Linked DNA regions of Bombyx mori. The protein of the gene in region 2 purifies or fractionates together with the protein of the main gene of each other region. This does not show direct contact. Links are inferred from orthologs where the notes say so. Each region holds a gene or a part of one and is shown on either strand. Other genes may lie near its edges.

Region 1 (4,053 bases), on a different chromosome or scaffold from region 2:
AAAGGCACAAAATTATTCTAAATAAATGGGACTGTGAAGCACAATTGTAATTTGTAACGTTTTATACCTGAATTGGAAATTTAGGAAATAAATTATTGTCAACAGTGGTAACATTGTTTTATTTAAGGCCCTAATCATACAGTGTATTTTGAAGGCGCAGACGATGCGCGCTTTAGAACGCGCGTTTTCGGCGCCGCGCCGTAGATGCTGTTTGTTGCGTTTGCACTAATAGTACAAACGTACGTATGAAGCTCGTTTACGCGCCTTTGACACAATACAAATGCACGTTCAAAAGGGAGTAGGAGGAGCCAATCCAATTCCATTTCCAGATTCGCCTATTTTTTCTTAAAAGTATTACCAAATACAACGTAGGCAATGTCTCAACCGACTCCATTGTTCAACTGGATTCAGGGAATCTCTGATTAACACACGGAAGCTACGAGCGACTATAGCACGTTTATATGGTTGCGCGTATTTGTGCAGTGGAAGCGCGTTTCACAATGGCCCCGTGTGCTTAGGTTACAAGGTTGCGTTCGAATCTCGAAGTGCGTATACGCGAGTCATCTGCGCGTCCTCTGCTCATAAAAAATACGCTGTGTGCTTAAGCTCTAAGAGTTGGAATAATAAAGTACCAGACCGCAATTTACCTGCTTTCGCTTGGATTTGGTCGCCTTGTTAGCATTAGTTGTTGATGTTTGACTACTGATGGGGTGGTTTGAGTTGAACCAACCAGTAATTCTACCCGACTTGTGTATCTTTCAAAATGTAGTGTATCTGTTCTTAGGTTATATATAATCTTACTCTATGGTCTGTTCAAAATATATCATTGATTTGCGGTAGAAATAGCCAAGATGATCGGTTTAAAGGATCCTATGTCATCTGTAATTAAAAATTTTTGAAGATTTTCGGGATTAATTGATCTTTCTTTTTGTTGTGACTCCTCTTAAAAGTCACCTGTGAACTTATAGTTGGTGTTTAAACAAAAAGAAATAAGCTTAAAAAAATTCAGTACGATAAAATCGACTAAGCTATGAAAATTAACCACAGTTCTAATTCAACATCTCTAAAAATGCTAAGCTAATCATTAGTGTCAAGACTGTCAAGTGTCACCATAAAGTTGTTTATAACCAAACAAAATAATTAACAATATTTATAACCAGCAAATCAGTCAGTTACGATTTTTATTTGTAACAGCGTAATTAATGATGAGTTATTTTGGTTAAGCTTAATTTATACGTAACAGTAAAATGTCAGACGATGAGGTTATAAAGTTTGAGATCACAGACTACGATTTGGATAATGAATTCAACCCCGGCCGTGGAAGAAAAGCTAACAAGGAACAACAAATATACGGTAAGTTACGTTTAAATACAAACAATCTAATTAAAACTCCAGAATATTCTAGGTGGTGCCACTACATTCAAAACATTGTTGTGTGATAGCTATGATAATTATAAAAATTCTAAAGTTTATAAAATGAGTTATTATAAGTTTCGTATTTTATAAAGCATCAAATGGTAGAGCTTCAACGTACCAAATTTTTTTCAATTCCGTAAATAATTCCCATTAGATTTGTATGTAATTTCAAGAAACATGCTCTGTCCGCCCATGATAATAAACAAAATATACCATGATCATTATAGTTTATTATAATAAACTAGTAAATTACTGTTTTATCATGAATGTGTGCATGAGTTTGAATAAAAATTTGATATTGTGCATGAAAAAATTTAACTAATTTAAGAAACAAGTAGGCAGCTGTTTTGATCTCTCACTTGAAAGAAGATAGCATTATAAAATATTCTAAGCAGATCACTTATGATATAGTTTCTAGTTTTTGTTTGATAAGCACTTCCATAATTAAGTCTCACATCTAAAACATACTTAAAACAGTAAACATTCTTATTTTAAAACCATCAAAGCGTAGCTAAAATAGCCCCTTAGGATACCAGCGATCAGGGAGGGAAAATGTGTTAGTTGTTTATAAGTATGAAATCTAATAACGTGTTCAATTAACCATTTAAACTCATATGTTCCAATGTCTAAATGTTTCTGGGATTATGACGACTGAGAGTTCATTTACACCACAAATATCTTATTGACTTGATTAAAATTAGAAAAAAAATTAATTAAAAATCTATGAAGCTTTCATGCATTGTTTTAAATGAGAATAGCTAATTGTAACAAAAGCAATAATATAATTAACTTATAGGTGTATGGGCCAAAGACAGTGATGATGATGAAAATGAAGATAATGTTAGACAGAGAATACGTAAACCTAAAGATTTTTCTGCACCAATTGGTTTCGTGGCGGGTGGAGTTCAACAGGCTGGCAAAAAAAAAGACAAGACTAAAGGTAACAAATACATATTCACTTAATTTTTCAATTTGAAAACTTAATAAAGTCATTTAAAGTGATTTAAGTATGGTATTTTATCAGTCTTCATGAACCGTAGACATAAATAAAATCACTTTTATAACCAAGTTATCAGTGACCACACTGTAACTATACAAAAAATATGAGACAACATTTTTATTCCAGTTGTACAATACTGACTACCCTCCACGTTGTTTCCTGAGCGCTATGACATGTCCTTCTTCAAACAAGGCTTCTGGAGAGTACTTAACAGTAGGCAGCGGTTTTGTCCTGCCCTTGGCATTGCTGAAATCTATGGGTGATGGTAACCACTCACCATCAGGTGGGCCGTATGCTCATTAGCCCACAGGGGCAATAAAAAAAATGCCAAAAAGGTACCTTCCGACTTGACTTGGCTGTTCCATTGCTTCATGATTGAAGCATAAACTGAAGGCTCCACCATTCTTTAATGTTATGTGATTTTCAATACTAAAAAAATGCATGTCGTGGAATCAGTTCATGTCAACAAAAGTAATTTTTAATAATTTGACAGAAATAAAACCAGCTGAAGCGTCTACTTCTGCTCCTAAGTACTCAGACAGTTCTGATGAGGAACCAGAGGTTCCAGTAGCGAGTGACACGGCGGGAATCAGGAGACAGGGACAGGGAATGCGTCCACCATCATTAGGTGGAAATGTGGGAAATTGGGAAAAACATACTAAAGGAATCGGAGCAAAATTGTTGTTGCAGGTAATTAATTAGCTATTGCTCTTTGATCCTGAATGAATGAGCTATAAGCCACTGCAACGTTAAAGTTCATTCGTATTGTTTGACAAGTCCGTTGAGTATTCGTTAAAACGCATAAGCGGTATACGATTTTTTGCAGTACAAACGACATTCGAATGGTTCTATATACAACGTATGTGCCGCTATTCATTCGTTAAGACGTATACTGCAAATAAACGTGCAGAACAATGCCGTAAACCCAGCCTAAGGGGCTATTTCAACTACGCCCAGCAGGAAGCGGCCGATAATTTATATAATTAGTTCTTAGCCCTCATTTGCATCTAGCCTTCTCACTCTTACGAATTTTTATAATTCATTAATTTAATAAACGTTCCACATTTTTGGAAATACGTGAGTTTTGATTAATATAATTTCTTTCTTACAGATGGGATACCAACCGGGTAAAGGTTTGGGTAAAGATTTGCAAGGTATCTCAGCGCCGGTCGAGGCTACGCTGCGCAAAGGCAGAGGTGCGATCGGAGCTTACGGACCAGAAAAGGCAACGGTGAGTTTCACAATGCACGTCATTAGAGTTTAATGAATACAAAAAAAATGTATTTGCAGTTGTACGGATCGCAACTTAAAACTTGCAATTTTTTTTCCTACCTATGCTGATAGGCTTGAGAGGCTATTTCAGCTTCACCCTAACGTGTAGATGAGCTCACGGGGCTCAAACCGGAGTGTTGCTAACACTGGGCCTAGCAAGAGCAGTGCCAGTGCTTCGCAGAATCTACCACCGGATCGGAAACGCGATCCACTGAGAGCATCCGTTGACTGCCCCGTAGTCTATATTAGGGCGGTGCCAAAATTATTAATCACTGGTATTTAGCATATAGAAGAAAAAAAACCCATTAACGGTGCTTTTAGGTACCACAAGCACCGGTCACCGTCCTTGTCGAACCCGTCGCTTG
Region 2 (4,209 bases):
TCTTTGAGCAGTACACCGAGCTGATGCGAAAGCTTTTGATTGTCAGCGATCAGCATTTTGATCTCTTGTTCGACGATTGTTTGGTTGTTCTGGAATCGAAAGGTCAAAAGGTCAATTTTACTAGCAATTAAGACTTTATTTGCTGTTCTTTGGAGACGAGAATCGAAGCCTCCTTGTCTTCTGTAACTAGTGCTAGAGGACAACATTTTTGAATGCAGTTACTGTAATAAACGTCATGAGAATTATAATCGGCAACAGTTTATTTCATCCATTTTTTTTATAGCCTTTGTAGGCAGACGAGCATACGGCCTACCCGTTGATGAGTGGTTGCCGTCACCCATGGACTTCAGCAATGCCAGGGGCAGAGCCAAGCTGCTGCCTACTGTTGAGTACTCTCCACAAGCCTCGTTTGAAGAAGGGCATGTCATAGCGCTCGGGAAACACCGTGGAGGGGAGATCATTCCAAAGCCGGTTGGTACGTGACAAAAAGATCTCTGACACGCATCTAGCATGAACTCCAAATTAACATGAATGTTTCTTTGTAAATCAGTGATTGGGGGAAGCGTTTTGATTACTTCCTCACATGAATGAACCAGTTATTGGAATACTTGTAACACATAAGTAAGTATATAGGATGAGTATACTACTAACGTCTACTAACACCACCAATTAAACTGCAGGATATCCGGATTTTCTCAGTGGGTCGCGTTTTCGATCCGGCGGTAGATTCTGCGAAGCACTGCTCTTGCTAGGGCCAGTGTTAACAAACACCTCCGGTTTGAGCACCGAGAGCATAGGTAGAAAAAAAACACATTATATCCGAAATTCCCATGAGGTTGAAACCTTAAAGCGGTATCATTTACCTCCATTGTGGTGTCGCTTTTGGCCAGCGTGGTGGCCTCTTCGCCGAACTACTGCTACATTACTAAAAAATGCTGCTGGAATTGGAAAAATATAAATAGAATGTAAATACGGTACCTACCCTATAGAACTCCACTTCTGTTTGGAGAGCACTTATTTCTGTATTATCCATAATTCAATTATATTCCTGAATAGTCATATTATATTATTACCTAAAAATCAATTTAAAATATGCATCTATGTTCTAACTTAATGTCACTTTCGTTTAGTTTGTTTACATTTTCCCGCTTAGTGCTGATATACCGTTGCCTAGCAACTGATATTATGTTCAGAAATATTTTCGGAATTGTGACTACCAATTACATTTTTACTTGTCATTATTCTTTTCGGTAGGTCGTTGAAAAGTAAAAATAGTCGAAAATAAAAAAATTACAACTATTAGAGATCAAAACTAGGTAGTCAATTTTGTCTTATTTACGAATACAAGATACCATCTTAATGTTTTTGGACGAAACATGTTTGTCTAAACGTCAATTCAATATTGATGTTTTCGCAAAAATGGGAAATTCGCGAAATTGCGTTTTTCCGCGAAATGAAAATTCCAGAAATTTAAGTGAACATAAGTCTATAGTAAATTAAAAATTTTCATCAATCAATAAAATCAAATTAGAGAAAATGACAAGGTTTAACATTTATGTGCTCAATATAGTTTTTTATTTTAATGAATCGTGACTTTCTGAAAAGAATATAAACCAACATTGTTTTTTTTTAGTCTGTACTTCGATATAAGCCAAGAGCAATGGCCAATAGTATATGATGACAAATACAATGTTTCGGTTTTTGGTCTCGAGAAGTTTCATGTATTTGACGCTAAAAAGTGGCGGAATATTGTTCAGGTAGAGTATAAGTTATAGCTCACTAAAACGGTATTATTGAGTTTAGCAATCTCTTACAGATAACGATAAGCATGGGCAGGGTAATCTAGGATGTGTGAAGGACATGAACATGGTAGGTAACTGGCCATTAGCTGATAGCTAGCTTATTGATTATTTAAATTCCAGAATGGTCAACAACAACAAAAAAATCAGTGCTATTTGAGATTTTATGAAAAAAGACTAGAGACTAGAAAGTTAAAATTTCTATTTAATTCTAGCTATCTAAGTTTAATGAATGAATTCAGGCAGAAATATGCACGATGATGTAGTGAGGAACAATGCAGGGAGGCATCAGAAAATGCGTATTTATAAACATTTATTAGAAATTACAATTTTAAAACAATATGAACAGTATCTAAATTGCTTTGAATTAAACATGGCAGTTGGAAATCTGTGGGTATTTATTATAAAGTTTGAAAGAAAGTTGAGATCATTTACATAAACAAAATAGTGATGATAAAAAAAATAAGCTAAATATAATTAACAACTGAATTAATAATCTGCTATCTTTGTGAATGATCCAATTAAATTACAATTAAAGACAATTAAAGAAATATTGAAAACTGAATAACGAATAATGTTATGTCTCACCTCTTTGTCTAGTATTTAAGGAATGCACAACTTATAACGGATGAACGCCTAGTGAAGCCAAAAGAAGCCCAGAAGAGTGATTTGCTTGTTGTCCATACAAAGCGGTATCTCAAATCTTTGAATGTAAGTAAAGCATTACCTTTTTTTTGCTTAAATGAAGCCGGATTCTAATTAATTAATAAAGCTGTTGTTTGCTAAACTGCAAACACATTTCCTGTCAATTCCATGTTTTATGTGTGAAATTGTGATTTCAAAAATTTGGAAAATAATATCTAAATAATTTTTTTAATTCCAGTGGAGCGCAAGAGTGGCTATAATCGCAGAAGTACCACTTGTATCTTTATTACCAAATTTCCTGGTTCAATACGCTTATTTAAAGCCGATGAGGTAAATAAATAGTTATGTAAAATGTGGTAGTAATAATATTGGTTGATATACAGTGCCTTAATAAGTTTTAACATTGTATATAAATTCAAAAAGAGTAGAAAGCATGATCTGTGATTACACTTTCCAAATTTTATATTTTAAAATGTAATTGTGTATAATGATTTACAAATAGCTATCCTATAAAATGAATTAAAATATGTTTTATTTATTATTCAACACATAACATTCGACATGGTGGTTTCACAGTATGCTTAGTGCATATAGTATAGTGGTATTTAAAGTAATGGTAGTATATTTCCAATTTGATTAAAGGTTACAAACAGGTGGTTCAGTTCTTTGTGGTAAGCTGGCATTGGAGCGTGGGTGGGCTATCAATGTGGGTGGTGGCTTCCACCACTGCAGTGCTCAAAAAGGCGAAGGTTTCTGTCCGTATGCTGACATAACGCTGCTGATACGGTTCCTCATGATGAATAACTTAATAGAGACTGCTATGATTGTCGATTTGGATGCTCATCAGGTAAGATTATTGATATTTTTTCTCAATATAGAGACTGCAAGATTAAAATGAATACATCTGTGGTGGGTAGCCATTATACAATACAAAGATATTTGACAGATGCCTGAATCTTGTCTATTACGACATTTTCAAGATAAGCTTTCATTTATACAAGTTTGCCTACGTTTGCCGCTAGGGGCGCTGCCCCAACTCCATACAAATTTGAGTTAACTTTTACGCAATCGAGAACGTTAATAAACTTGCACTAAGCACATGGATCTGCACACACAACCACTGTGATGGAGAGTGTCCGGACTATGTCTATGGGCTAATTTCCTCGTAGAGGCCTTCGTCGATGATTCGATGATTGAGGTACCTAAAAGCACCGTTAATGGATCGGGAGGATCCGTAATGACGTGAACCTTCGGTTTGTTGATATAGGTAATAAAACGATTAAAAAATTGGGCTGCCTCATTTATATCCACACAAAGGTTCCGGACGTAGGATCTTCTTCTGTCTCCCGGGGTGCAATATTAATGTTGTATTTCAGGGAAATGGTTACGAAAAGGATTTCCTGGGTGTTCCCGAAGTATACATAATGGATATGTACAATAGAAATATTTTCCCGAAAGACAAAGAAGCGAAGAAGGCGATACGAAGGAAAGTGGAACTCGGGAATCTGGTTGAGGACATGGAATATATGCTGAAATTGCGATTGTGAGTTGTTGATGAACTAGACGTGCCCCGCGGTACCGCCTGCGTTGGATTTGTTATTCGGCACGAATTAAACAGCGTCTGTTATTGCGGGATATAAGATTACTCGTCTCACTTTCCGTTCCGTAATCTAGCAATCGATTGAGATTTTTTTCTATTGCATACATGTGTGGACGAGCTCACAGCCCACCTGGTGTTAAGTGGTTACTGGAGCCCATAGACATC

What was found. Proteins that work in one complex are often made in the same cells at the same time.
Region 1: the proteins of histone deacetylase 11 (region 2) and STIP purify together in Homo sapiens (co-immunoprecipitation; 3 studies listed by BioGRID and IntAct, counting the BioPlex papers as one, with this or other methods). This does not show direct contact. The link is inferred for Bombyx mori from reciprocal best matches to the Homo sapiens genes HDAC11 and TFIP11.

What each region holds. Positions count from the first base shown.
Region 1 is NC_085113.1:9,626,058-9,630,110, forward strand, and holds the start of STIP (septin and tuftelin interacting protein), read left to right. Parts: upstream 1-1,195; 5' UTR 1,196-1,247; coding exon 1,248-1,353; intron 1,354-2,212; coding exon 2,213-2,356; intron 2,357-2,888; coding exon 2,889-3,106; intron 3,107-3,527; coding exon 3,528-3,647; intron 3,648-4,053. UniProt on the Homo sapiens protein: Involved in pre-mRNA splicing, specifically in spliceosome disassembly during late-stage splicing events. Intron turnover seems to proceed through reactions in two lariat-intron associated complexes termed Intron Large (IL) and Intron Small (IS).
Region 2 is NC_085120.1:9,518,362-9,522,570, reverse strand, and holds the start of histone deacetylase 11, read left to right. Parts: upstream 1-1,385; 5' UTR 1,386-1,536; coding exon 1,537-1,544; intron 1,545-1,633; coding exon 1,634-1,757; exon of another isoform or gene 1,758-1,860; coding exon of another isoform or gene 1,861-1,869; intron 1,870-2,399; coding exon 2,400-2,510; intron 2,511-2,682; coding exon 2,683-2,774; intron 2,775-3,086; coding exon 3,087-3,291; intron 3,292-3,820; coding exon 3,821-3,987; intron 3,988-4,209. Other genes in the region: dynein regulatory complex subunit 4, read right to left, coding at 1-89, 983-1,033. UniProt on the Homo sapiens protein: Responsible for the deacetylation of lysine residues on the N-terminal part of the core histones (H2A, H2B, H3 and H4).